Sus scrofa: one gene and its partners. The protein of the gene in region 2 interacts with the protein of the main gene of each other region in a biochemical or structural test. Links are inferred from orthologs where the notes say so. Each region holds a gene or a part of one and is shown on either strand. Other genes may lie near its edges.

Region 1 (4,723 bases), on a different chromosome or scaffold from region 2:
TGTAACCTAAATGATACCCATCTTAATGTTAAGAATTAGAAGGACATAAAATCCCAAGCATAAAAGTGCCCTTACCGTCGGCTGTACAGACATTTTCAAAGTTGCCAGTGTTACTTTGATTGGACTGCCTTCATAATTCATTGCCTCTGCTTCTACAATGTGCAACTCATCCTTTGCGCCAGCCCCTAAACTGACCTGTGAATAGAAAAACAGTACTTCAAACTGTCACTATTTTACAATGCCCCCCCATGAGTTTTTTAAAATACAGAATAATTATTCATCTTCCATTATTACCACTGATGGAAAACTGACGAGCTCAAAGTTGTCTTCAAGTTTTATGTGACCCTAGTCTCATACTCAGTAACTTTGAACAAATACACTAAAATGCATTTGATGACACATACTTATGCCATCACCACTGTTAACTCACAGTATGAATCGCCTAACATTTACCGGCCACCTACAATTTAAGTAGTAGGCTATAGCCTAGTCTCTGGGGAACAAGATGTATATTTGTCACTACCCTAAAGAGTTTTTAATACAACTCAAGAAAAGTAGATGACACAATAAGGAAAGCTGGGGAGTTCCCATTGTGGCTCATTGGATTACCAACCCAATGTGTATCCATCAGGATGCGGGTTTGATCCCCAGCCTCCCTTAGTGGGTTAAGGACCCCATGTTGCCAGGAGCTTCAGTGCAGATTTGCACAGGCAGCTCGGATCCTGTGTTGCTGCAGTGTAGGCCGGCAGCTGCAGCTCCAATTTGACCCTTAGCCTAGGAACTTTCATATGCCATAGGGGCGGCCCTAAAAAGCAAATAGAGAAACAGTAACAGTGAAAATAAGGAAAGCTGAACAGTGTGATTGGACTGTTCAAAATATCAAATGAGTGGTAAAGACGGCAGGTTTTCTATAACACACGTGGAAAACCAAGCATATACAACAACTATAGAAATACTTTTCTAATGTTAAGCCACACAAATTAAGCGGTGTCTGAAATCGAGAGTACTTTGTCTTGAAAAGTTTTACGTACCGTTCTTAAAGATAACTGGTGCTCATTTTCATCATTATCCACCTTAAAGTGGTAATCTTTATCGGCCTTTAGTTCACAACCTGTAAATGAGGAAACAACCCTACTATAACAAGGAGAAAAATAACACTGAATGAAACGTCACTGTGGGTAACCAAAAGTTACTTGATTTTACTATTCTATTCTAGCTACCAAAAAGCAAGGCAGAAGTACCTCTTACAGGCCTTCTTGAACACACAAGTCTATAAACATCAAATAACATCCATATAGAGCAAATAACTTTCATAGTTTTATAAATTCCTCCTTTCCATCATACTATTTTATGCTCAACTACACTCTTCTTAGGTGGAAACAGTATCAAAGATTTAGTAAAAGCTGGAACTTAAACCAAACCTAACATATGTTGATAAAAACCCCACTATTTTAAAAAGTTGAATTACCTACCCCAACTCCCAGGAGGAGTGCCAATTTAGAAATGACAGTGGTTACACAAACACATACATCGACAGCTTGTATTTACAACACAGAAAGACTACAAAGTAGGAGAACTAAAGGTTGTTACACGGGTCCACAATCCATCTCTGAACTAACAAGTGATATATATAAACTCTGTTCAGAAATTATATCTAAGGCAAAACTAGAAATATCCCAGGGATATTTCCGAGGGTAAACACAAACGTTTTTGATATAAACTGATCAGAAACTCCAGCTTTTCAAACCGGCTAAGAATAAAACCCTTAATGTATAGCGCATGTTACCATTACCACTCATGAATAGGCAAACTGATTTTAATAGTCAGAACTAAATTTTAATTTAAATAATACCATTTAATTGCCATCTACTTATTTACTGCAAGAGATGTATAAATGTTCCTGCTCAATTAACATATCTCAGCACGATATATAACAAAATGAACTTGAAGGCATTTGCACTTCTTCAAAACCTAACCGAAAAAAAATGGCTTTAACAATTAAGTTTAGTGAAGTTGAAAAACCAACCCAAGTCTCCTAGGATGGCACTGTGTGATTGAGGTGAGCAACAAAACCTTGGTAATAGAACTACAAGTTTAACAGAAGGCTGCCTCTGCTGCCCACCTCCCAAATCATTTGTAAAGCACCAGCTCTGGAAGCAAGCGTTGTGGGGTTGGAACTATTAAGTGCAACCTTCAGTTTTCCGAGTATCAGTAAGTCATCTGCAAAGAGCGCGGAGAGATAGAAAAAGAACTCTAGAACTACCAGCACTGATGTTAACCACTTAACAAAGACCTCAAGAGTACTGGCGCTACGAACCACTTCACCTAAAATTTCCCGTCCACCATCCTCAATTAAGCCCCAGGACCCCAGGCTCGGAGTGACAAGACACCAGTGAACCCCGGATGTAGCGCCCACACCCCTCCTTCCCCCAACCACGTGGCAACCACGTGCTCCCAGCGGTAGCGGCCTCCCCACGCCGGGCCGCGGCTCCCATCCCCCTGTAACCGGCCGAAGAACCCGGGCCGAGTCTGGGCCCTAGACCTCCTGACCCTTTAGGCCTGTAGGACAACGCCAGGCTCCATTTGTCCTCTCCGTCCAGATAGGAAGCCCACGTCTCACACCCTGATCCCCCACAATCTCTTGCACCACCAACCTGGAGTCCAGCATCAGGCACTAGTCTGGAATCAGAAGCCTACCAACTCACGCAACCCCAGGAAAAAATTATGCCCGGAGCTCTACCACGTGCCCCAGCTAACGCCCAACCCTAAACCGGTGGGTTCCACATTAACTCAGGCCCTGGGCCTCGGACCGCTCACGCTTCAGGCCGCCCTTACTTCCCAGTCACTCCGTGGTGCCGGCTCGCCCTCCCAGGTCCCCATCCTTAAGCTTCAGGACCCCAGCAGCTCGCTTCCCACTCCCGCAGGCCTCCAGCCTGCTTAGCTTTCTCCACCTGCCCAGGCCTCAGTGTGATTTCCACCACCCACTCCAAAGCCACCAGGCCGCGCTCGGCCTTGGCCCAACACGCCAGTACTTACCGAAAAGATAGTTCTGAGGCCTCAGGGGGCTCATGTCCATATCCATCGAATCTTCCATGGGTTGGTGGCACGCACTTGGGTGGGAGAGAAGGCGGACGGAGATAATCCACTAGTGTTGCGGAGAACAGCCGCGCAGGACGGAATCACACCAGGGAAAGGACGCGGGCTCCCTGCGCACATATATAGCACCCTGACGATCTCGCGAGAGCTCTTCAAGTCCCGCCTCCGCGCGCGTGCTCGGAAGCCCCCCTCCCCGCACAGTCTCTCTCCTGCGCAAGCGCTCTTCAACATCACTCCTTGCTACCTCGCCCCCCACCTCCTCCAGGTACTTCGCGGGCTCCCACCGAGCACGCGCATTCGTACCCTGGTCCCACCCACTTCGCCGCCACCGCCTGTGCGCACGCGTACTTCCCCCTCGTAGCGCGCGTTCCCCCACCCTCCAAACCTTCCACGTCCTCTCCCGCTCAGGAGCGCGGGCCTTGCGCCAAGAGCCTGCGCAGCCCACCCTGCAAAATGGCGGCAGCAACTCTTAGCTGGGTTAGGTACGAAGGGCGAGCTGGTTGTAAGTGAACCAGAGAGCAGCTCATTTCTCCTTTCGCCATCTCCTCATGCCTCGCAGGCCTGCAAACAGGCATAACCACTTCCAGTTTTTTGGCTCGCCTGAAGGCCTGAGCCCAGAGTTCATTGTTTCCCCAAAGTTAAAGCTTAAGGTGCCAGAGACAGTGGACTACGGATTGCCACTTGTTGGGGAGAAAAGATGTAGCTGCTGGCCAGACTTAATCGGTTCTGTTTTTAACCCCCTGTCCTTTCTGAGGAAACATCTCCGAATTTAAAATTCTTCGACATTACGTCACTGGGAGGCCAACAGGGGGTTCTAAATCGGTCTCTTTCATATGAGCAGGGCAGGAACCAAGCCTGGGTGATTTCTCCAAAGAGAAAGTTTTAAAAGGGTTGTGTATCCACCGTATGTCCCCACGTAACAGGTAAGAGGCAGATGTGACTATCCCCATTTTGCGGACAGGGAGACGCGCCACGAGGAAGTAAGGTGCCCAGACGGAGTGGTTACAGAAACAGGGTTCTCTAGCTCCAAGTCTAATACTAACACCTGTCTAAAAGCTCGGGGGATTACACGGGGGTCCAGTGTCTGAGGTTGTGCAGTTCTTAATCTTTAACATCACTAAGGTTGTTCTGGCCTGAAAAGAAGGCATTTGACGTTTAAGAAATACACAAACTTAGACTCTGGAAGCGAGCCTGGAAATGAGTATCTTAAAGTACGCTGTCAAACTGAGGACCACCCTTCCCCCAACCGCAGCTCCTCGGGCAGGGGTGCTGAAGATCCCCACAATTATGGTTTTTACACAAATTTAAAAAATTAAAGTACTGTAAAGAATAAAAATAGTGACAGCAATCCCCTACCGCCTTTTCTCCAAACATAGGCTACTTGGGAAGATAAACTGTGATACGCATGAACCAATAATTAACAGAATCAAAATTCAAAATGTGGAGAAATCAATGCTTATTTGTGAATGGACTAAGCTGTTCTCCGCTTTTCCCTGCTCCCAACTGAAAAAAGTCTTTACCAGCTTGGTTCTAGCATCTTTTAAAATGCAGAGTGTGACCAATTACTAGAGAAAAAAACCGAGTCTTGGAAAGTTACTACGGATTGCCACTTGTTGGGGAGAAAAGA
Region 2 (4,560 bases):
CCTCTGATGTCCTCTAATAACCGGGACAGCTTCTTGTCTGTTTGTTTTTGCTTTTTAGGGCCACACCCTTGGCATATGGAGGTTCCTAGGCTAGAGGTCCAATCGGAGCTACAGCTGCTGGCCTATACCACAGCCACAGTCATGCCAAATCCTCAACCCACTGTGCAAGGCCAGGGATCAAACCCGCAACCTCATTGTTCCTAGTCGGATTTGTTTCTGCTGCACCACGATGGGAACTCCTGGGACAGCCTCTTATCCTAGAGTAGCCTAGTCCATGGTCCTTGGAACCCCAAATTTTCTGAATCCTCAATTTACAACTTTCTTGGAAGACTTGAGGCAAGCAGTCATAATTTTAATGGTGTACCATCCAGCTCTCCTAGCTTAGTATCTATCAAAATATGAAGTCTGTGCATACTCTAAGACCTCTTGGGGCATCAGAGATAACTTTCCATCTAGTGATAGAGAAACTGCTAGCCAGATATTTTTAGTAACTTTGTGAATGTCCCTGTTAACACCTCACCTCCCAAGAAATTCAGAGAAGACATGCAGAGAGGAGCTCACCTCATGGGTGTATGTACGAACAGGGACTCCAAAGGCTCTGGCCAGTCCAAAGTCTGCTAACTTGATAGATCCTTCTGCGTTGATAAGCAGATTCTGAGGTTTAAGGTCTCGGTGCAAGACCCGATGAGAATGGCAAAAAGCTAGCCCCTGAAGCAGCTGGAACAGATAACTCTGACAAGGGGAGAGAAGGGACTGTGTTTTTACACCAAAGTGAGCAAATTAGGGTCTGCTCTGTGCCTCCAGAGTTTCTACTAAAGCCTTTATTATGTTAGATTGTAATTAAACATTTACATGCTTTCTCCCATTGGACTATCAGCCCAGTGAGGATAAGGATCAGGTCTTATTCAGTTTTTTGTTTTGTTTTGTTGCTTTTTAGGGCTGCACCCTCGGCATATGGAGGTTCTCAGGCTGGGGGTCAAATCGGAGCTGTAGCTCCCAGCCTATGCCATAGGCACAGTAACACAGGATCCAAGCCACATCTGTGACTTACACCATAGCTCACGACAACGCCAGATCCTTAACCCACTGAACGAGGCCAGGGATTGAACCTGCATCCTCATGGATGCTAGTCAGATTCATTAACTGCTGAGCCATGACGGGAACTCCCTGTCTTATTCAGTTTTGCATCTCTTTTCCATATTCTGTGTCTAGCACATTGAGGGTCTTCAATAAATGTGTTGGATAAATGTTTATTGATAGATTAAAAGTAGCTCCAGGAGTAAAGAACCCAGCAAAACAGACAATAGAGACTCACTGGCTATTTCTCCCACCAATTTTTTTTTTTTTTTAAAGAATTTACCAAGTGCTCTCCAGTCCCATTTATCTGAGTTTTGTTGTTTTTTGTTTTTTGTTTTGTCTTTTTGCCTTTTCTAGGGCCGCTCCCAAGGCATATGGAGGTTCCCAGGCTAGGGGTCTAATCAGAGCTGTAGCCATGGGCCTATGCCAGAGCCACAGCAACATGGGATCCAAACCTCGTCTGCGGCCTACACCACAGCTCACAGCAATGCCGGATCCTTAACCCACTGAGCAAGGTCAGGGATCGAACCCGAAACCTCATGGTTCCTAGTTGGATTCGTTAACCACTGAGCCACGGTGGGAACTCCACCTTTTATCTGAGTTTCATCTCACCTTCCACCTGAGCTGCTAAATTGACTCACAAGAGTTTCAACTTTGATTCTTCTGCCCAGCCCTAGGGTTAATAAGCATAATGAGCGGTGAAAGAGCCATACACACACACACACACACACCACACACACACACACACACAAAAGGTATGTGTGATTGTGTTTGCATGATAGGGGGATGACGGCTGGGAATGAAGCCAAGATCACAAATCATCACTCAGTCTTAATTATCTGTCTTAAGTGCCCCCAAGACATGCCCATGTTGGGGAGGAACTGATGAGAAGGATTACCTTTATGAGGGGAAGAGGAATGCCAGTGAGAGCAGAGGCATCCATGAATTTCTTGAGATCCTGGTGCAGAAACTCAAAAACCAGGTAGAGTTTGTTTTCTGTGTGAATGACATCCAGCAACCTAGGGAAGGGGGGATGTCCAGGAACAGAGGTGAGGGAGAGAAATGTCCAGATAACACAAACAGAACACATCTTCCTTTACTGTCAGAGCACCTCCCGGATGCATACTTACTTGACAATATTAGGGTGGTTAAGCTCCTTAAGCAGAGAGATCTCTCGAATGGCAGTACTGGGTACACCCTCCGTCTCACTTGGAGAAGTTGGGAAAGCAGATGGGAATGTGGTTACAAATATTCCTTTTTCCCCAGCCCAGTCATGACCCCACCAGAGACACCACCCCAGCATCCTCTAGGGAAATGAGAGAAAAGGGGTGTCAGGGATTAATTCATGGGTGGACAGGAAGGGCTTTTGGACACATTAAGGTCATTATTTCTTCTTTTCCCAGGGGTAGATTAGCAAAGCCTCTTGGTGAAAGTGAAGAAGGTTAACTGGGGGAAAAAAGGTGGGGGTGGGGGGAGTAGCAGCACCCAGCCTCCGAGAGGGGCCAGTGAGTTTCAACTGCCATTCTTTTGAAAGGGGGAGAGAATTCTAAGATGAGGGTGGGGTTGAGACAGCGAGGAAAGTTCGTATTCAAAAAGTTGCTCTTTACCGCTTTCTACAAAACCCAACTCCACGGGGAGTCCTGGACCCCAAATCAGAGGCCTCCTTCCTCTTCCCGAGTCTTTCTGACTGTACATTTTCGGGCATCACCCGCCTTTGGAAAGGAAATTTCCCATGGACTCTACACTACCCTATATTCTCCACAAGGAAACCCTGTACTGTCCTTCAACCTACCTCTCCACTTCAAAAGAAGTCCCTCCCTACTACCTTCCGGTCCCTGGATGGCTACCCGCCTGTTGGGGTGGGGGTGGGGGGCACTCAAGGAGCTCCGGAGTTAGAGGAGTCCCAGGTACAGAGGCCACTCACGTGTCCAGGCGGATTTTTTTAAGCGCCACCACTTCTCCCGTCACCTTGTTTTTGGCTTTGTACACAACTCCGTACGTGCCCTCTCCGATCTTTTCCACTTTTTGGAAGTTCTCCATGAAGCGCTAGCGAGTCGAATCAGCCCGGCCCTGGAGCGGGGGCCTGGGAACCCAGCAGAAAGCGGCACCCAGCTCTCGGGGGCCGAGGAGGGGGAAACAGGGCCCTGCACGGCAGCCCCAGGTCGGGATGGAACGCAGCGTATCTCTCGCTCTTGTCAATTTGTCCAACTTGAAACAATGTTGCCGCCTCCCCCCGCCAGTTCCCTACCGCCACCAGAAGCCCCGCCCCTCCTTCCCGCGTTTCCCTGGCTCCGCCCCCAGATCTTCCTATTGGTTAACGTCAGAGTGGGAAGGGCCCGTCCTGCGCTCCGCCACGCCCCAAACGACCCTTCCCAGCGCAAGTTTCTGAGGTGTATTAAGTCAAGTTTTAACCTAGGTGGGAAGGTGAAATATCGTGTTCCTAGTATTTGATTTGGGCTCGAGTTTTCTACCTGTACCTTGAGTCTGTAGGGATTTCCTAATATCTAAACCGGGTTTTCACCACCCTTAGGAAAATGTGCACTGATCTAAGATTAAATTCCACCTAGCCCAGGGAACCTTCTCTGAAAAGCAGGAAGCTGGGAAGCTCCTTGCAAGGGTTTCCTGGACCTCGGAGGAGTCATTGCCTCTGTCAGCCTATCCTACACAATCTCTGTTTTTGGATGCAGGGTTGCTGTTTCTACAGTCTTTTTGACAGGTTTCTGGTTTGACTCACAATAGATTGATCCACTCTCCCATGATGGATTGTGTGTGTAGGGTACGTGTTATGCTATGTTGCTGCCCTTCAGTCAATTCTTTGGGCGGGGGAGTGTTGAGAGTGACCCTGTGAAGCCAGAAACTGTCACTGCGTAGCAAGATGTCCAGGGACCAGGATCCCTCCCCAGTTCTGCCTTTCTCAGGTCCTCCTCCTCCTCCCAGGCCTCCTCTGGAGGGAAAGGGGGAAGGGCTATGCAAATGAGCACCCCTTTCTTATATAGGGGCTTGTCCTTTGCCCCAGTGCCTTTGGTTGCTGGAAGGAAGAATACCATGGATCTGGTGCTCAGAAAATGCCTTCTCCATGTGGCTGTGATGGGTGCCTTTCTGGCTGTGGGGGCCACAGAAGGTGAGTATGGGGAGTGTAGACATGAGCAAGTGTGAATTTGGGGTTGCACACCTGCTCTGCTTTTCCCCTCCCTAATGGGAAATACCAGCAATGCCTCAGACTTCTCCCTCCCATTTGATTTAGTGAGGACATGGGCACATGAACTCTCTCTCCACATGGAGATTTGGGACTGAGCCTAAAAATAATCCCATCTGCTTGGAAGGGCAAGAGAAGAGTGGGTCTTTGTGGCCCTAATTCTGAGACCCGTGGACAGTGAGCTGGAGCAGGGGATCCAAGGGGATAAAATGAGAGGGAGACTCTTTTAGGCAATGTCTCAGGCACTTGAGATAGAGTATTTCCAACGAGGAACAAGAGAATGTGGT
Region 3 (4,570 bases), on a different chromosome or scaffold from region 2:
CCAGGCTTCTAGAACCTCCCCCCTCACAGGACGTGTCTTCCAATTTGAGCGTCTAATATAAATGTACCTAGACATGTGGCTTTTAAACACGCATCTATATTAACCGGATATTTTAAGGCAGGGTCCCAGTATCACCACGGGAGGGCTGCAGTGCAAAGAGCGCGCTGATACTGTCCCCGTGACTCCCAGTGTCCTTCCCTGGGCCGGCCAGCGGCACAGTCAAGGGCGAAGGGCGATTGCACAGGCACCCGTCTTGGAAAGCCGGCGGGGTCCCAGCCCTTCTCCCGAGGCTGGGTGTGCTGCAGGTGGAGCAAACACAGGGGAAGCCAGGGCTGTGAGCTCAGGGCCCGATGACACCTGAAGTCCCAGGGCAAACAGTCACCAGCAGCAGACCCTAACACTGAGGGCTTTCTGCCCTGCCTCTAAATCTTAAAATCATGTTCCGAATTCCCTGGAGCTCTTCCTCTTCTGGTTAACAGCAGTTTCCTTTACTCCAGAAGCGTTTTAACATCTCTGCAGCCAGGTAGCCCTTCCAGAGCCCACATGTAATTTGAATGATCCCACTCCCAGGAGCCACCGCCACAGCAACTCCTTGGTTGGCAACTCAACACTCAAAACACAGGCGGGACTGAGAGAAACTTCTGGGTTTAGAGACTTTCCAGCCCATCAGCTCTCCCAAAAAGCAGCAGCAGCCCTTTGCCCCAAAGTGCTCCTTCTGACCACACATCTGATAAGGGGCTTCTCTGCACACAGGTTCCAAGACTTGGGGGGGGGGGGGAGAGCGAAAGGGGTGAGGGGTTAAATAAAATGGCGAGACAGAGAAGGAGAACATCTTAAAAATCATTCGGAATTCAGGTGTTGATTTCAGACATGTTTTTATTATAATCTTATACAGTCTACATAAATTTGAACTTGTATTTATTTGGGTTCAGTTATAACATAGCATGATAAAAATCAAAGCACTGGTCCTCTGAAATAAAGCAGGCAATCACCATTCAATAAACACACTTGATTTATTTTGTATAAAAGGGTTAAGTTTACAACTAAACTTTTATAAAAAGTTTAGCATGAATAAGTACATCATTACACTTTGATGCAGAAATTGACATCTCTGCCGCTGTACAAGGAAACTCTAAGGAAAGAGTTCACGAGGTTTCACTCAATATATATATATATTTATATATAAATATATACACAGCATTCAGTAGGCTTGCGTCAAAAAGGTAATTTCTGACCGAAAGACTTCATGTAAGTAACTGAATACTGGATCCTTCTGGTATTCACGCTCCACCTTTGAAAAAAGGCAAAGTCTGCTTAAATTGGGCAATTCCTTGTGATTTTAACGTTTTTCGCTCCCCATGGTGGGAATAGTATATAAAGAAAACCTTCCAACTGCAGAAAGGGCATTTAAAAGTCTTTTTCATAAATAACTAGTACACAGTCCAGGTCAGAGAACACTGGGCAAGTCGACCGTTCTTAGTTTTCCTTCCATTTTTTTTTTTTTAAAGGTCCATTTGACTTGTCCTCCTTGGGAAATGGTTGAAAAATAAGTTCAGCGCCTTAAAAGAGCCTGTGGATTTGTTGCTGTTGTTGTGCAAAGGGGGTGGGTGTGGGGGGGGGAAGAGTCATGAACACCTGCAAAAGATCGAGAGAGAAAGGACTGTTTAGGAGATTTTAACCTAAGGGCAGAGGCGGGCAGACTGGCGCCAGGAGGAAGCCGCAGTTTGAACATTTAACCAAACACTCAAACATTGGGCAAACCCTGGCGTCCACAGATGCAAGACACACACTCGGCCTCGACAGCGCAAATTAAACATTAAAATAGCAGAGACTCAGGCGAAAAACTTCCCAATGCAATCTCCTATTTGGATCTCCAGCGGCAGGGCTCATAGGCGCCAGTCTGCTTCTTGTAACAATTATTTGATTGAAAACAGCCCTTTAGTTAACAGATTGGGAAGTCGGAATCCCACATCACAGGGGCTGAGGCACAGGGCAGCAATGCTTGGCTAGCCTGGTCCCAGAGGGCTGGAGTTTTAGGGAGGGAGGATCCCGATGGAATTTGCGGTGATAAGATTAATTACACGGGGGTTAGTACCTCGTAGTACCAGAGCATGAGCAGAAAACAGCCCAGGCATGATACTGGCACATAAAACCGGGACACAGTTACACAGTTTCCTCTGCCACCTTCCATAGTTACTGGCATTTTTTTTTTTTTTTTTAAGGAAAATCTTCCGTGAATTTGAGTAACAGGAGCCAGATGCCTCTTCACATCTAGTACACGTAAACAATGTACTACGTGTTATACAACCAAGTACACATTCATCTACCAAACCCAACATTTTACAGATTCGCAAGTACACGCGCGCGCGCGCGCACACACCCCGAGTGCCGGTTCACCGACCGGTGGCACAAGCAAACACTCACCATTTATTCAGCCACAGAGCGCTTTGCTGTCACTTGACATTAACTCAGAAGGGAATTCAGAAGCCTACGAGAGAACGGGGATAAAAGGCTCGACGTTAGACAACTTCAGGAGAAAGAGCTTTTTTTTTTCTTTTTCCAAGTAGCCCATAGAACAGCAAGTTCCAGTAAAGACGTTTACGCTAATTGCAGACTCAAAGATTGATGCGTTAACCTCTCAGAACTAACCTATCAGCAATTTCCCGCATAACTCAATCTACAGCAGATTTGTAAAAAAAAACAAAAAAAAAAAACAAAAAAAACTAAAACTAATAACAATGAAGTTAATTAGCTCATTTGTGAGTCACCGACTGCGGCCGGCGGTCTCGACAATGGGTCGGCCAGTGGCAGCCCAGGCATCGCCCGGCTGCGCGGCCGCGAGCGGGGCACCAGGAGCAGGTCTTACCTGCAAGGACAGGATGCTGATGTCCGTATTTAGGGTGGTCAGCGGCGTCCTGGATGCCTGGCTCTGCCCGGGTCGCTGGTGGTGCAGGCTGACAATAGTGGGGTGCGAGTCCAGGGCGATCTGCAGGTCCAAGATGTAGTCGATGACGTGCTGCAGGATTTCCATCTTGCTCACCTTCTTGTTCTGAGGGATGCTGGGCACCAGCTCCTTGAGCTTGGAGTAGCAGTCGTTCATGTTGTACAGCAGGCTCATCGGGTCGTCCACCGGGGTTTTGCTCCGGGAGATGCCCAGGCTGTGGTCCGAAAGGCTGTTTTTCCTAACGGACCTCACTGGACTGAAGGCTTTCATGCTGACCGCAGGAAAGAAGAGACCGGGAGGAGGGAGCGGGCTGCCCCGGAGCTCAGGACGCCGCCGCTGCCGCCGCCGCCGCCGCCTGCAGAGCTTCCTACGCTCGGCACCAGGCTCGGCTCAGAACGAAGCAGGGAGCCCGGCCGGGCGGCTTTTATCAGCGCTCGCCGGGGCCACACGATCCGGCTGCCTTGCGTCCCCATTGGTGGAGGGCGGCGCGTCCATCAGGCCGGGCGGGCACCCCCATTGGCCGGCGCGGGCGCGGGGCGAGCGCTCGGTCCTTCCGCGTTCGCAGCCAATCCCCGCGGCGCGAGCCCAGCTGGGGTGGTAAATAGAGTACAGTAAGCGCCGGGCCGGAGGGGAGCGCAGGGGAAGGGGAGGGCTGGGGGGAGAGAAGCGGGTGGGGGTAGAGGAGGGGGTCGCGGACAGGGTGGGGGAGGGGGAGACCCCAGGAACCTCAATGTGCATCTTAATCCCCTGTTAATCCCAACGGCGAGGCCGGACTCTCTCCCTAAGGTGTCTCCCGAGGAAGCCTTCTACACCTCGGGGCTTTGAGCATCCCTAAAACCACAGCCACCGAGGCCAGGTCTGCGCAGCGGAGGGAAAGCCACCACGGTCCCCTGCGCCCCACGGAATGTCAGCAAGATAGAAAGCATTTCTGAAGAAAGTGAAAACGCACATAAGTTTGCCGTCGCCAAGTGACGTCTGTAGTGTGAGTTGGGTCTCTTAAGATAAGGAAAAGCTTTGTAAAAAACAAAACCAAAATCACCCACGCGCGCATTCAACGACAGGTTTAGTGTGGGATCGTGCAACTCGGAGCAACGCAGGAGGCGTTGTTGTAAACTCGGTGAAGTGAGTGCTTATTGGAACCTGTGCTGATCGCTGAGGAGCTCTGAGCGCAGGACGCTTTCTGGCTTCCTTTTCTAGAAGGAGGAAGGGCTATCTATGATAATGATCCTACGAAGCGGAAATCATTAGGAGAATTTGCGTATGGAAGCTGTATTTACGTACACTGCCTTCCGAGGCTGCCAGTCTGTCCTCTGCAGTGTAGGTGGCAAAGTAAGGTGATTAATTATGCACAAGTCGTGATTTCTGGTGTCACATTCCAGTCCTACTGTATTTTTAAAGCTTTGTGACAGGTAGGTGGCTCCAGCCAGTGGTGGATATCTTCACATTGTTGTTGTTGTTTTGTTGCTGTTGTTGTTGTTGTTCTTTAAATCTGTCATATACCAAGTTTGGACTCTTTTCAGCACTAGCCTTAGGGGCAGGTTCAGGTTGTTTCCTTCCCTCTTTTCCCCTATTAAATCTTGAAGAACTTATTCTGCCATCTACATTTTCTACAAAGCTTGGAGTTAC
Region 4 (4,620 bases), on a different chromosome or scaffold from region 2:
TTTCTTTTTCTGTTCCAGAGGGGTCAACTGAAAGAGCAAGAATCACATAAAACTCAAAGCTGTCTTTCTGAGCCTGAGTGTGAGGTGGCGGGGAAAGCCAGCAGTCGCTGTCCCAAATCCCATCATCCATCCCTACCTGTACCACCGGGAGACCGGAGCATGGAGTTACTGGTCCTCAGCACCAGAGCCTGGTGGAGTCTCTTGGTACTCGAAATAGCCCCCACCTGCTAGAGATTCGGGTGACCCTCGGATCAGCGCCAGAGAAACCCAGGGGCGGCGGCTGGCTCAGAGCTTCAGCGTTGGAGCTTGGGCACAAACGCGGCATCCCTCGAGATCCCAAGGAGAAAGCTGCTTAGTTAAAGCGCGCCCAGAGCCAGGGATGGGATTTCCTGATTGTCGTACGAAGGACCATCTCACGGCCCCCAGGATTCCTCCATTTAACAACCCCCACCCCCGGCCTTGCCGACCCGAGAGCCCCACCAAACCGCCAATACATTTCAAAATTGGGTAAAATAGCGGACGCCTATACTGCGCTTTGTTCCCAGCACTGGGCTAAACGCGCTTGCCATGATGCGCTCCTTCCCAACAACGGATAGGAGATGCTGTCTTCGCCTGCGGTCCATCCCAGGCAGCGGAGGCTGCGGGCTCCCTGTTCCCAGGTCTGCTAGCTCTGTCTAGACCCTAGCTCTGTCTAGAACCAGAATCTCTTGTCTAGCTCTATGGGGCGGGGGGAAGATGCTCGAATTGATCCTTGAACCTCTCTCCAACCTGCCCCTGCCGAGCCCAGCTCTGCAGGAAAGCTCGCTCCGATCCGATCCCAGGAAAGCTCGCTCCGATCCGATCCCGAAGCCAAGGGAAGGTTCGGCCTGGCCCCTGGGGGGCTCTCGACCCCGAGCCAAGTCATTCCCCGCATGTTTAGATCAATCTGCGCGGCTCGAGAGGATGGTGTGTTCCCTTAAATGCTCATGAATCTCAGAACTGCGCCCCCGCACCACTTTCCAGCGATAGAATTAACCAGAAAGCCGCCAGGACCCAGCTAATGGAAAGAGGGTGAGGCTCGGATTTGTTCGCCAGGATCTTACCCGCCTTCCTACTTCCCCCACCTCACTCCGCCTCCGGGTTTCAAGGTGGCGGCGAACTCGGGCTCTCAAATGAAAATCTCTCACGGTTCTAAAATAATATTCGACTATAATAATAAAAATACATGAAAGATGCCTTTCCTGGTGGTTGCGGCCGCAGGAGTCCAATTTGGAAGAGCCACGGGTTAAGGGGTGGGAGGTCCCCCTCCTGTGTTCTCCTGGAGCCAGAGGGGCAGGGCCTATCCCTAGGTTCTCTATCTCTGCTGGGCAGGGGCGGGGCAACGCCCCAAGGTCTGTCCCCAGGGTGCGGGTGGTCTCCATGACAACCTCCCCCTGCGACCCCCTCCCAGGCCTTTTGATAAAAGGGTGTGGCCCGCAGCACCTCATGCCCCCTCCTCACATTCTCCCGCCTGGTGAAGCAACAGGACGTGAAGCGAAGTGGGCAACCCCCACCCCTGCACCCCGCTTCTCCCACCGGGGGTCGCCGGCGCTCCCTGGCGAGGCGTCGCCCCCAGGACGCTCCAAGTATGGGGAGGGGCATCGTCCCTCTGTGGCCACCCGCAACTCGCGTCCATCCCTTCGGCCCTCAGGTGCTTCCTGGCGCGCAGCCCCGCTTTGGGAGAGGGGCTCGCGGGGTCACGCCCGTTCCCTGCGTGCCCTCGGGGCTGACTCGAGTTCCTCGACCCCAGCGAGCGCCAAGATCTAACAAAGGGCTCAGAAATGAGGGGCAAAAAGCGGGAGGAGGGGTGGGGGCCTCGATTAAACACCCTCATAGAATAAGAGCCAAAAACTAGGGCTGGCAAGGCAGATCACGTAAACCCTACAAACAAAGCACCGAGCCCCCAAGGAAAATCCTGGGTGAACTCCCCCAGTGCTCAAGCCCGCAGCAGCAAAATCCAAGATTTCAGCGCTAATTGCCCCCTCCCCGTCAATGACAGTCTTCGCCCTGTCCTCCGAAGCCGAGCCGCTCGGCTTGGCACGGTACTATAAAGACATGACACGCCGCAAAAAGATGGCACCTCGCGTTCGGAGGGGAAAAAAGCAAGGGTGGAAGTGGGAGGAGGCTCGGCCTACCCACCCCCTCCTCGCCCACCCGGGTCCACACCCACTGCCGCAGTGAGGGGCGAGCCCTGCGCGCCAGCCGGGCGCCTCCGGCAGGGAGCGCACACGCCGGTCCGCCAGCGCAGAGCGCAGAGCGCAGAGAAAGGGGCCCGCCCCGAAATGCACCTGCAGCCCCCGCGCGCGTCTGTGCGGGGCTGCGGCTGTGCGCGCCCTCGAGCTGGGATCCGCGGCTGCCGAGCCCTTCCACATCGCAAGGCCAGGTGACCCCTGCCGTTCCGCACCTCCACATTGAGATCCGCGCACTACCTTCTCTCGGGCGCGGCGCTGCTCGAGTCTGGGTGCCAGGCGCGCGCAGGGGGAAGGGCAACTAAAGTGACAGCACCGGGACCCCTCCCCATCTCCCTGATTCCACTCCCAGCCCCCAAATGTCCCCTGCGGGTTTCTGAAGGAGGAAAACGGGGAAGGGGTGGGCCACCGCCTTAAACCTGGGACAGCGAAAGCCCCATTGGAATAGCTGCCGGGGAGGTGTAGGGAGGGGCAGGCAGGGAGTCATCTTTCCTAGAACCCGATCAATACCTTCCTTAGAGCTGATGGCAAACCGAGGCAGAGAAATCAGATTAGAGGTTCGGTTTGGGGGGTCGTCATTGAACACCCCCCACACCCACAAAGTCACACTCCTATTACTGCAAAAGGCTGTATTCGAGAATGCATTGCAGCCCCCTCCCCCAGGTCACCGCCATCCGCGCCCCACCCTGTGGGCAAAACCTCTGTCCGGGTCCGCTCGCAACGGGTCGTGCAGACCCCCTCAGGACACACACACGCACACCCATGCATCCCTTGCACGGGTCCCTTTCCAAGTCGCCCTAATCCCGAGCCCCAACGCAGAAGGGGCAAGGAGGGGCCCCGGCGGTTGCCCCCGACCAAAATTCACCTCAGGAAACCCATCTCTGGGGCGAGGGGCGGCGGCATGGGAGTGCAGGAGGGCAGAGGGGGAGGCAGATTTCGGAGCCTCGCACTTACCTGATAGTCGACAGAGGGCGAGGACACCAGAGGAAAACAGTCAAGTGGCTGTGGTGGCGGCGACAGAAGGTGGGCGGCGGCGACGGCGGCGCTGCTGCTGGTGCCTGAGCTGGTGGGTGGCGGAGACTGCGAGCGCGCGCACCGCCAAGAGGGCGCGCTCCCGAGGCCGGCGGGCGGCGCAGGCGCGAGCGGCGGGAGCGCGAGCCTCCCCAGGGGAGGGGCGGGGCCCTGAGGCCTCCGCAGGCGTATTCTCCTCCGGCCACCAGTGGGCGCGCGTGAGCGCCCTACCAATCGACCCTTCCCCGCCTCCCGGCTCTCTCCTCTCGGCACTTCCCTTCCCGGGTCTCCCTTCCTCCCATGCCTTGTGCTGCGGAGCTGACAGCCACGCGCACGCGCGCTTCTTGGCGCAAGCGCACATTGGGTCTCCTCTCACGGCTGGAGTCTTTGTTTTGTCTTAGGGGTCTCCTCCCTAGGAAGCGAGGCTTGGTTGCCCTCTGGGTTAAAGGAGACGCTGGGTGCTCCGCCGCCTCCAGATCCGCAGCCCCTTTTTTTGCTCCGGAGTGATGTCCTGTCTCAGAAAGGTCCTGGGCAGTTTTTCACGTGGCCGGCTCTCCAGACAGTACACGCAGGTCCTCAAAAACTTCCCCCAGGCTTGCCCACTGGCACCCTGACCCTCTCCTGAATTTCCCCTTGTTGGAGATCAGTTTCCTCGTGTCTGTTTCCCTTCAACCTGCTTTTGTTCCACCTTTTTTGTTATTGATCAAGGTGAATTCTTTCCTTAGTAAATCTACTTAAACCTGGCTAACCTGATTATAATTAGGCAGTGCACATTTGGGTGTTTTTTGGGGGGGGGAGTGTTTTAACAAGGAGCATTCAAATCTAACTGTAACCCAAGAATAAAATCTTAAATTAGATCAAGTTTCAAATGGCACTTACCACATTACAGAGCATTTTCACATATACAGTTATTTTTATCTTCTTTGTGAAACATCCTTATTACTGTAAATAGAGCTTGAGATTTGAATTTCCAGGTGCTGGCGGGAGATTCTCACCTGGATAACATGCCTCAGACTGAAAGTGGCCAGAGGCTTTCATTCTCTCAGTCAGCCAGCATCTAGGCTTTGTCCTTAACTTGTTCTGCCCAACATCTAATTTAAACCCTGGCAGTGGGAGTTTAAGTTTAGAAGGGCTTAGGGACAGCCATCTTGTCATAGGAGGGTGGGAATTTGTCTTAAAGCTTTAATTTACATAGCTGTTATATTCTTCTTCTTTTTTTTTTTTAGGTCCGCACACTTGGCATATGGAAGTTCCCAGGCTAGGGGTTGAGTGGGAGCTATAGCTGCTGGCCTACACCACAGCTTGCAGCAATGCTGGATCCTTACTCCACTGAGCAAGGCCAGGGATCAAACCCAAATCCTCATAGGATACTAGTCTGGTTCTTAACCTGCTGAGCCACAAT
Region 5 (4,771 bases), on a different chromosome or scaffold from region 2:
CCTGGGAACTTCCATATGCTGCAGGTGTAGCCATTAAAAGAAAAAGCAGCCAAAAAAAGCCACCCAAGAATATCTCGGTGATTCTAATATTAGGGGCCCCCAGACATTTTGGAAAAAACATACACCTTCCTAATGCCAGGCCCTGTGCCAGATCCTCCAGCTAGACGTGTAATCTGGCACTGCCCAGTCCTGCTTAGGATGCTCAACTAGGCTACAAGGTGGCCCTTATATGCCACAGGCAGGGGAGCAAAGGGGATCTAGTGGGCCTTAACTAAGAGACCAGAAGCTGGAGCTGCTTAGGGCAGGGCAGGCTTGTGGAGAAAAAGTCTGAGAGCTGTAGGTCCTTTCATCTTCCCGACATCAGCTGTGGCACCTGGCAGACACTGGATACCACAGCTTGGAGACAAAGACCTGGTAACCCAAGGAGCTGCTTGGTCTCCCTGCCCAGTCCCATCTCAGAAGAGCTGCAGGCTTCTGATTTCTTTAGGGGGCCCTGTGTGGAAGTGTCCTTTGTCTCCTTGGCGTCAGGAATACCATCACGTGCCTGCTGGTTAGGTGAGCCTGGCGCCTTAGTCTCCTCCAGAGGGGTGGCATTGTTCTCTAAACAGAGCAGGGTAGAGCAGGTCAAAGTCCCTGACTGGAGAGGGTGGGAGTGGGAATTTGCAGACTAACCCCTTTCCCTTGAGGGTTGGTTTCATCTTAGGGACCCTAACACAGCCTTTAGGGAGCATCCCACACAAGGGCTCTCTGCAGGCTGGACTCTGGCTGCCTCGTTCGCTGCCGAATTCCTAGCACCCATCACCTCGCCCTCCCCCCACCCAATACACTTTTGCTAACTTGGGGTTTCCCTGAAACAGTGGTTACTTTGGATTGGAGGCCTCTTCAGAAGTCGATAGGAAATCAGAGTTGAGAGTATCAAACAATCCTTGCTCTGCCACTGAACCGTTTTGAACCTGTTCCCTCACAAGTCAAAGAGAAAAGGGTAATGGTATTTCTTCTTCTTTTTTTTTTTTTGTCTTTTTGTCTTTCTAGGGCCGCACCCAAGGCATACGGAGGTTCCCTGGCTAGGGGTCGAATCGGAGCTGTAGCCACCGGCCTACACCAGAGCCACAACGTGGGATCCGAGTCGCGACTGTGACCTACACCACAGCTCATGGCCACTCCAAATCCTTAACCCACTGAGCGAGGCCAGGGATCGAACCCGAAACCTCATGGTTTCTAGTCGGATTCGTTAACCACTGAGCCACGAGGGGAACTCCTGATATTTCTTCTTATGCATTATTGTGGAGAGTGAGCTAACTCATGTAGGGTTCAGGGGAGGACACTGAGGCCCTGAGCAAAATCTCACAGCGCTGGCTGCAAAGATCAGCGCCCTTTCTTTCTCAGAGTCCCAGTTTCCCCATCATGAAAAGGAGCTGCAGCCCCTCCCAAACACCACCCCTAACACAGACGCCTCTCCCTCCCCACTCCGCCCCTCTCTCCCCGCTACTCCCCGCGCTCTCCCTCCCGGCCCCTCGCTCCAGGTTTCTAGGCTTTTCGGGACTGGGGTCTTTAATTCGACTTAGGCCAGCTCCCGCCTGAAAGACCCTTGCAGGCCGTGGAGTATCTGAGCCAGTCCCCCGTTTCCGCTTTGAGGGGAGTGAGCGCCGCTTTCGAGGGAAGGGGTGAGACTCAAGGCCCGCCGCGCCTCGCCCCGCCGGTCTGCGCCTGCCGTCAGGCGATCTCGGCGGCCAGCCCTGCCGTCTCTGTGACGTCACGGGCCCCGGGGTCCTCGGCGCCTGCGCCCGCTGCTATAAAGGCGACGCCGCGCCACTCGGTTGAAGTCGCCTTGTGCGTCGCTTTTCTGTCTCTCCGGTTGCGGACACCGCCCTTCTCTCGTCAGCCTCCGGCCCGCCATCTCCTTGAGCCCAAACACCGTGAGTACCCGCCGCCTGAGCTGAAAGGGGGCGGTGGCGCCGCAGATTGCGAGCCGCGGGCCGCCCCGCTGCGGCTTTGGCCTTGCTCGAAACGGCAGGCACCTGGGCCTGGCCTTCCCTCAGGCCCGGTGAAAGCCGTCGTCGACCCCATTCTCCCGGAGGTGCCATTCACCTCCCACACCGCCCCTCGACTTGCCGAGGCCTCTTTTAGCCGCTAGTCTTCACCGCGCCCAGGCGGGCGGGAGGGAGAAGGTGTGAGCGGAACCGGGATTGGGCCTTCTCTGCGCGGGGCGACCCTCAGCCGTCGCGGAGCAAGGCTGCAGGCCCAGGCTGCGGCCGGGGCCTCCCTCGGCGGTTGAGCCCATCGGCCCCGGGAAGCCAGGGCGAGGGTGGTGGCGGGGCTTTTAATGGACTTCTCTGGGTCGTCGTGAGCATGGGCGTTTGTCCGTTTGTTGTTCGGGTGTCCCAGAGGAAGCGTGGTAGGGTCGTCCCGCAGCTGGATTCTTGGCTCTCAGTCTTTCTCGCCCCTGTGTCTGGCGTCACTCGTCCTGGTTAACTGCGCCGGAGCCGAATTTCGGCAGAGAGCTGCCTGCTCCTTCGGAATATTTGTCGCCCATTATTTTGCCACAGCCCGCGGTTGTTGAAGCAATTGTTGGAGTAGCAGGTGCCATCGCCACAGTGGTTTGGCTTTTAGGTGCACCAACTCCGTAAACTTACTAAGAGGTTTTCGAAGGGATAGGATGTTCACCTGCTTTGGTTTGCTTTTTAATGGAGACTAAAGGTTGGAGTTTGGGCTCATGAATGTTTTCATGAGAGCGTCACAGCAGAATGTTTGTGTGTCATAGAGCAACGCAGATTTCACTTTGCCCTATAAGAAGAAGTGTCAGAACTTCGGGTCACTTAAACAGGTTTTTTTTCTTTTATGATGTTTGATAGACCCCTCCTCCTGGAGGGTGATTTAACTCAAAAGTGCCGGCGCATACGGAATTGAAGGAATGGTCTGGAGAACATACCACATCAAAGTTTCATGGATAATTATAGAAAAGTTTTGCTCTGATTTCCAGCTGTATAACGCTAAAAAAAATTTTTTTTTGAGTATTAAGTTTAGCTTACAAAGTGCATCGAATTACAGATTAACCGATTGTTTCCCTGCTATTTATTTAGTAAGATCTCAGTTAAGAGTAACCTAATACACGAATTTGACTGTGACTAAGCAGATATGGCTGTTTATCAAAAGTTATTTGAAATATGAAATGTTCGTCTTGCTTAAAAGTAATTTTATCAACTGCATTTCCAGACTTGTGATTTTATAACGTTCACTCCAGTGTTGTGGAACAGTCATAGAGCATAGAATGTTTTGTAATTTAAAATTGAGCTCATGTTAAAGTATTTCTTTAGGGGGATATCTTTTGCTTTTGCCTTGTCGCAAGGAAGGTCCTCTGCTCTGGGCGTTTCTTCATGGAGCAGGACAACTGCATTATTGGCAGGCACTGAGTAATATGGAGAAGCAGACATTTGTGAACTGAAAAGTGAAATCTGATTCTCTGCAACCATGGATGAGTGTGAGCTGGATATTTCAATGGCTGGTTTTAAAACAGCTTTACCTTTTTGCTTCCTTGCCCTAACACCTTTGTCTCTTTGGGGAATGGAGACAGTTGTGTGGGAAAAGCTGAATATTGTAACCGATTTAACGGGTCCTAAGTGTTGGGGCCTAAAATAGGTGCAGTCAGTGTTTTGAATGCCAAATTCTGTATTTTTAAGTTAGAGTGATATCAGAGTATTATTACGAACATCTCAGATGCACGGGCCTTTTAAAAACCTGTTACAGAAACTTAAAGAGATCTTGAGTTTTTACAGTCAGGTGTTGCTGCCGCCCACCCCCCATGCCTCTCCCCCAAGAATCTGAAGACGGTAAGAAATTGCTGGCTTAGAAGCTTAGAACTTTTAATTCTAAAGAGGTTTTGTTTTGTTTTTGCCAAAACTCAAGTCCTTTGAAGTTAAATGCTTAATTAACTTTTATGTAAGAAGTGTCTTTTTCCTAATGACTCATAATCAGTGTGAGTTAATAAATTCATTTTGGCGGCAAGTAAAAGGCTGTTATTACTATGAGGATTTTGGCATTCGATCTCAAACTTGGGACGCCTAGACAGTCAGTAAAGAAAGATAAACAGGACTCTGAAACTATAGGTTTAGGGCATTAGGTCAACATCTGCTTATCCTTAGATATTTCATTCTCTTCTCTATGGCCTTGCTTTCATCCAAACATAAGTAAGTATATTCTAATCTACTCTTTAGATCTGAACTCACTTTTTACTGATAAGTTTCACTGTGGGAAAATTAATATCTTATTTGGTAGCTTTGTTTATTTTGGACTGACCTCCCTCAGGTGAAAGGAGAAAGGCAGGCAAAGAGTAAAAAAGCATTTTAGATATATTTTGCATTAGAAATATAAGTGTGAGTTTTAAAATTTATACCAGTAATGAGTGCAGAAGGGTAGGCCTTAAAAGTTTCTGTTCCTAGGAGTTATATATACTTTTGAAAAAATTTTATAGAAATACTTGTATAAAATTGCCTTATAATCATTTACAGTGTTTTATACTATACTACAGGTCGTTAAGATTTTGTAGTTAATAAGTTAGAAGGCTTAGACATTTAATGGTGAAATGCAGTGTAGAAGTAATATCTCTTAAATTTCAAATTCAATATAATACCTTTTTTTAGATGCCTTCAATTAAGTTGCAGAGTTCCGATGGCGAGATATTTGAAGTTGATGTTGAAATTGCCAAACAGTCTGTGACTATCAAGACCATGTTGGAAGGTAAGTTAATTAGAAAACCTGGGTCACGGTAAAGGGA
Region 6 (4,810 bases), on a different chromosome or scaffold from region 2:
AAACACCTGGCTATCAAACAACATTCTCCACAAGTTTGGTAAGACCTGAAAACACAAGGCCAAAAATCATACCTAAATGAAACCACTGCTGATCCTAACAAAAGACTTGTAATACAGTTAATGTAAAAGCAAGTGGATACTACTTATTCTTCCAATCAGGAGATAGAAACATACCAGTCTAGATACACAGATGCACTAACCTCACTGACTACAGAACTGTGCCTACAGACAAAACTGCTTCACTCATCACAAATTTTTAAACAATCAACAAATTATGATCCCCAAAAATGACAAGGTATACTGCACACACAACAACCTTGGCTTTGATACAGACCTTAGTCACATCTTGTGGGGAAAAAACTTACATAGTTAATAACATAAAAACCCTATTCACCCTGGTCTATAAATATACTTTCTTATAATCAAAGAAATTATCAACTATTTCCAAATATCTACCTCCACCAAATATCTTTTCTTTAAAAAGAAAAATAATTACGCTAATTATTACACTAATGAAAAAAGGTTTTCCACTCAAGATTTTCAAAATATACAGGTTTTGCCAGTTGTGCTATTGGCCACACAAATATTAATAGTGAAAAGAGAACTTTTGTTTCACTAGAAAGACTTACTATACCTAAAAAACTGCCTTCAAGTTAATTTATTTTGGAAGGTTAATACAGTTCCCAAAGACGGAATACTTACAAATTAAAAACAGTATGAAGGCTATGTGACAACCTCCAAAAGGACCCATGTCTTGAAAATCTAGCATCAAAGATATATATATATATATATATATGCTCCAAGAATTAAAATCTTTATACAGTGGATGAGCAATGGGGATTTAAACATAAACTGATTAATCTCACTCCATCTTGATATTACAGAGACATAGCAAACAATATTTACCAAGGGGATCAAGCTTCAGTCCCCCCACCATAATTCCAATATCTTCTGCTGTCTCCAACACAGACCCTTTACTTCTGTGGTCTATCTACTACAGACTTCCAACCAGATTCAAGATCCTTAAAAATAAGCATGATTATTTTTCATTGCTTTTCACTCCTCTCATAAAAGTAAGCAATCTTGGATATCCAATAAGTGTTCAATATTTAAATACAGAGTACTATTTTAAAATGCAATTGTATAATCTCAAATGATTAGAAGGAACCCTGGAACATGTTTTAACTCTATAGACAAGAAAATGTGGACCAAGTGAAGTGATTGCCTCAAGGTCACAATTACTTGGTGGCAGAAAAAGGACCAGTGTCCAGGTCTAACTCACAGTCCAGTGGTCTTCCAACCACATCATTACTCTGTTGCAATGTTTGCTACACAAATAACTAGTCATCTAGCCAACTGCTGACTCAAAGTCTTTATATAGAGTTAAGTACTCAACTCTAAAAATCTTTAAAATCATCACTTACAGTATCCAAAAACTAAGACCTAACACTATACATTAAACAATTTTTAAAAGCCCACTTCCAAAACTTTAAACAAATGTCATTTTCATCTGATGTAAAAGAATTAAGGATCAAGAAGCAACAAAAGGCTCTACATTGCCAGTATTAAAATTCAGCTCCAAGAGATGATGTGCCACCTCATCAACTAGAAGTTTTGTTGAGGCTTGGGATAAACAAATCTGAATTAGACTTACTTAAATTGCAGTAATTCACAGAAGAGTTTCTGAAAAAGCCTGTTTTAGGAGCGTATATGTCAAATTTACGAATCTAATTTTCACATCAAACCACAAACGAGTCAGCGTAATTGCTTTCTAATAACTCTCTTCACTAATACAAAATGTTGATGATACTCCACCATTCTGTGGAACTAAAGATGCTGCAGAGTTATTTTTAAAAAGAGAAGTTGAAACATTCATGGTGGAGATCAGCATTTTCTCTACTTTAGAAAACTGAATTATAAGACTTAAACAGGCTACCTGTTTCCCCAACTCCTTGGGAAAAACAAATCAGAATTAGGTCATTTAAAATGGACTTCTAAAACAGACTACAACATTCCATTTTAAACGTTTGTGGGATTTAAACACTAAACACAATGACTGGAATACAGCAAAAGCTCGATCAACAGCTGTTAATATCATACTTACTACTTAAAGTCACAAATATACTAACAACTTTTCCAGCAGAGAGCAAGGATACAAAATCTGCTGGTCTTAACAGTTTATGCTGCTCATTTAAAAAACAAATGGCAAAATGCCAAGAACCTTAAGCTTAAAGAAGGGTTTCATACTATCCAATTTGAGTCAGCATATAAATCAGAGATTAAACTGACACTTGATTTCCAATCCCAAAGCTCCTATGTAGAATGACTCACCAAAATGTCTAATTCTTCCAACTATGAAAAATAAGTTATACTCCTCCCTATAACTACCACCATGACCTTCATTGAAACTTAGATTAAAAGCTCATTTAAAAATTCTCGAAAAAATGTACTAATAAGTCTCTGGAAAACACAGCTCGAGAGGTTTACCATAAACCACTCAAGACGATGCTAAATCTGCGTGACCTTTATTAGATAGGTCCCGGGATCCGGCCTACAAGCTTGCCTCTGGGGGACCCTCTGGACAGCTCTGGACCTAAGCATTCGGCCTGAGTACAAGTAAGAAACCTCCCACCAAACTCACAGAAGAGTCCCAGGCCCCATTCCCAGGCCGTAGAACCTAAGACCTCGTGCCCAGATATCAAAACCGTCCCTGACCCTTACTCGCAGGGTCTCCGCTCCCCCGCACCCTCCCCCAGCCACTTCGCTTCCAGCCAAGGCCGGGAAGCTCTGAAGCCCCGGAGTCGGGTGAACGGCGCCATTTTAGGCGGCGGTGGCAGCGACAACCAATCCCTGCGCGGGAGGCAGGGGGCGCCGGGTCGTCCGGGAGCCGCCGCCGGGCCGCGCCGGGGGCCGGTCTGGGAGGCTCGGGGGCCGGGGCCGCTGGCCTCCGCCATGTTGCACCCTCCCCGCGGCCGCTTCCTTCTCGGCGGGCTCGGCCCGCCCCGGCTCCCGAAGCCGGAGTGCAGCTCACCTTCTCGCAGAGGCTCTTGACCTGGGACTCGGACAGCTGCTTGCACTCATTCAGCTGCTCGATCCACTGGTCCAGCTCCTTAGTGAACACCTTCTCGTCCATGATGCCACCCGCCCGAACCGGCTGCCGCTCCGCGCTACTCCCGCGCCGCCGCCCGCACACGGGCCACACGCACACGCTGCCGTCGGCCCCCGGGGTACTTGTGTGGCTGCTGAAGGCTGCTCGGCAGTAGCGCTGCCCGGTTGACTCGCCCCTCGGTGTTCGGCTACCGGCCACTGACCTCCTCCGCTCGCTCTAGCCTTGGAGCTCGGCTCTGTAATGGCGGCCGCCGGCGTGGTGACGTCACGCCCGGCGTCAGGAGGTGGCGGGGTGAGGAGGGGTAGAAGCGCCGGGATACGAGCTGCGCAACTGCCGGGCCGGCTCTCATCTGCGGCCAGACCCGAGCGGGGGCGGGAACTAGGGGCCAGGGCGCAGGCGCGTAAAGTAGCCGGCTGGAAACAGGCACCTTCGCTTTTAGGGCGCGGTCCTGTAGAAGGGAGGGGCCGAGGGGGAAGGGAAGACCGAGTCCAAGCAGGGGCCTTGCTTATAGCTGGGAAGTGGGCTAATCTTAGAGCACTAAATCCTGCAGGGTGTAGTTGCGGACCAGGCGCAGGCGCAGCCGGGGTGCGAGGGTGGCTCCTTGTTGCCGGAGACTTTTTCCCTGAGGTGATACGCCTCGGCTCCTCACCTGGCGACTGCCAAAGCACGGAAACGAGAATTGGGCCCCGTGGCTCCTCCATTCTACAACAGCACTGGAATTGCTGCATCTTGGGAGCAGGAACAGGCGCCGAGTGGTAGCCAGGTTGGAGTAGCCACCCCTGCCTCCGGGTGCGGCCAGCACCTTGTAATTAGGTCAGTCGTAGGCGGAAGAGGGTGTACCTGCAGTACTGCGCAGTGCACCTGACTCCCCAACACACCTGTCCCCGGGCCTCGATGTCTCTTCTAGCGCCATGGCTGGGGCCTCCTAGCGCTCCTGGCTTCCACAGGCGCCGCTGCAGTCTTGCCATTGTGGCCTTCCCCCCTAGGTGGGCGCTTTCCTCCGACTCCGAGCCTCCAAGGGAAGAAGAAAACGCCCCCGACCCCACCCCCACCAACCGTCTGCCCACTCAGGCCTTCTTTCTAGAGGGAAGACCGCAAGGAGATGGACGCACCGGTCCTGATTGAGACCCGGTAGTGTTAGAAGCGGCTGTGATGTGCGCTTTAAAGAAAGCTCAGATACCCTAGGATCGGACCTCTGGCTATAAATCTCTTCGAGATTCGTGAAATGTATCCGCATTCCGTTGTCCTTGCATTCGCAGAAATATTTGGCTCCGTACACCGCCAGTTATGTTCAAGATTCATGCCCGAAGGACAGAAGGGTCATACAAACAGAGGTACCCTACCCTGACGGAGCTTGTGTACTTCCTGGGATGATCTGGGGATAGACAGGCAGAAGAGCCCTTCACAAAAGCAGGAAGATGAATGGCCAGTAACACAAGGGTAGTAAGCAGGGAAATGAAAACCACAGATTCCAGGTTTGACTCTCACCCATTTGGCAAAAACTGTCAACATCCAATGTTGGTGAGGATGTGGAGCAATGGGGTCTCTTATACACTGCTGTACTTTGGGACAACCACTTTGGAAAATCTGGCATTATCTAGTTAAGGTGTAGATGGGCACAACCCATGCCCAGCTCTTCTTCTCCTTGTTGTTTTCCCTAGAGAAAGTTTTGCACATGGACTTCAGGAGATAAGTATAAGG

What was found.
Region 1: of the proteins of CDK2 (region 2) and NPM1, one has a biochemical effect on the other in vitro, tested with the Homo sapiens proteins (2 studies listed by BioGRID). The link is inferred for Sus scrofa from reciprocal best matches to the Homo sapiens genes CDK2 and NPM1.
Region 3: of the proteins of CDK2 (region 2) and ID2, one has a biochemical effect on the other in vitro, tested with the Homo sapiens proteins (2 studies listed by BioGRID). The link is inferred for Sus scrofa from reciprocal best matches to the Homo sapiens genes CDK2 and ID2.
Region 4: of the proteins of CDK2 (region 2) and MAPT, one has a biochemical effect on the other in vitro, tested with the Homo sapiens proteins (2 studies listed by BioGRID). The link is inferred for Sus scrofa from reciprocal best matches to the Homo sapiens genes CDK2 and MAPT.
Region 5: the proteins of CDK2 (region 2) and SKP1 are reported together in a solved structure, tested with the Homo sapiens proteins (2 studies listed by BioGRID, with this or other methods). The link is inferred for Sus scrofa from reciprocal best matches to the Homo sapiens genes CDK2 and SKP1.
Region 6: of the proteins of CDK2 (region 2) and PPP2CA, one has a biochemical effect on the other in vitro, tested with the Homo sapiens proteins (2 studies listed by BioGRID). The link is inferred for Sus scrofa from reciprocal best matches to the Homo sapiens genes CDK2 and PPP2CA.

Annotation. Positions count from the first base shown.
Region 1 is NC_010458.4:52,778,552-52,783,274, forward strand, and holds the start of NPM1 (nucleophosmin), read right to left. Parts: upstream 3,312-4,723; 5' UTR 3,095-3,311; coding exon 3,037-3,094; intron 1,112-3,036; coding exon 1,032-1,111; intron 196-1,031; coding exon 76-195; intron 1-75. UniProt on the Homo sapiens protein: Involved in diverse cellular processes such as ribosome biogenesis, centrosome duplication, protein chaperoning, histone assembly, cell proliferation, and regulation of tumor suppressors p53/TP53 and ARF.
Region 2 is NC_010447.5:21,364,525-21,369,084, reverse strand, and holds the start of CDK2 (cyclin-dependent kinase 2), read right to left. Parts: upstream 3,256-4,560; 5' UTR 3,118-3,255; coding exon 3,002-3,117; intron 2,286-3,001; coding exon 2,208-2,285; intron 2,097-2,207; coding exon 1,976-2,096; intron 733-1,975; coding exon 562-732; intron 1-561. Other genes in the region: melanocyte protein PMEL, read left to right, coding at 4,045-4,198. UniProt on the Homo sapiens protein: Serine/threonine-protein kinase involved in the control of the cell cycle; essential for meiosis, but dispensable for mitosis. Phosphorylates CABLES1, CTNNB1, CDK2AP2, ERCC6, NBN, USP37, p53/TP53, NPM1, CDK7, RB1, BRCA2, MYC, NPAT, EZH2.
Region 3 is NC_010445.4:127,499,897-127,504,466, forward strand, and holds ID2 (DNA-binding protein inhibitor ID-2), read right to left. Parts: upstream 3,312-4,570; 5' UTR 3,215-3,311; coding exon 2,867-3,214; intron 2,489-2,866; coding exon 2,432-2,488; 3' UTR 2,425-2,431; intron 1,636-2,424; 3' UTR 863-1,635; downstream 1-862. UniProt on the Homo sapiens protein: Transcriptional regulator (lacking a basic DNA binding domain) which negatively regulates the basic helix-loop-helix (bHLH) transcription factors by forming heterodimers and inhibiting their DNA binding and transcriptional activity.
Region 4 is NC_010454.4:17,208,080-17,212,699, forward strand, and holds the start of MAPT (microtubule-associated protein tau), read right to left. Parts: upstream 3,312-4,620; 5' UTR 3,162-3,311; intron 1-3,161. UniProt on the Homo sapiens protein: Promotes microtubule assembly and stability, and might be involved in the establishment and maintenance of neuronal polarity.
Region 5 is NC_010444.4:136,473,054-136,477,824, reverse strand, and holds the start of SKP1 (S-phase kinase-associated protein 1), read left to right. Parts: upstream 1-1,460; 5' UTR 1,461-1,916; intron 1,917-4,637; coding exon 4,638-4,734; intron 4,735-4,771. UniProt on the Homo sapiens protein: Essential component of the SCF (SKP1-CUL1-F-box protein) ubiquitin ligase complex, which mediates the ubiquitination of proteins involved in cell cycle progression, signal transduction and transcription.
Region 6 is NC_010444.4:136,519,320-136,524,129, forward strand, and holds the start of PPP2CA (serine/threonine-protein phosphatase 2A catalytic subunit alpha isoform), read right to left. Parts: upstream 3,312-4,810; 5' UTR 3,134-3,311; coding exon 3,032-3,133; intron 1-3,031. UniProt on the Homo sapiens protein: Catalytic subunit of protein phosphatase 2A (PP2A), a serine/threonine phosphatase involved in the regulation of a wide variety of enzymes, signal transduction pathways, and cellular events.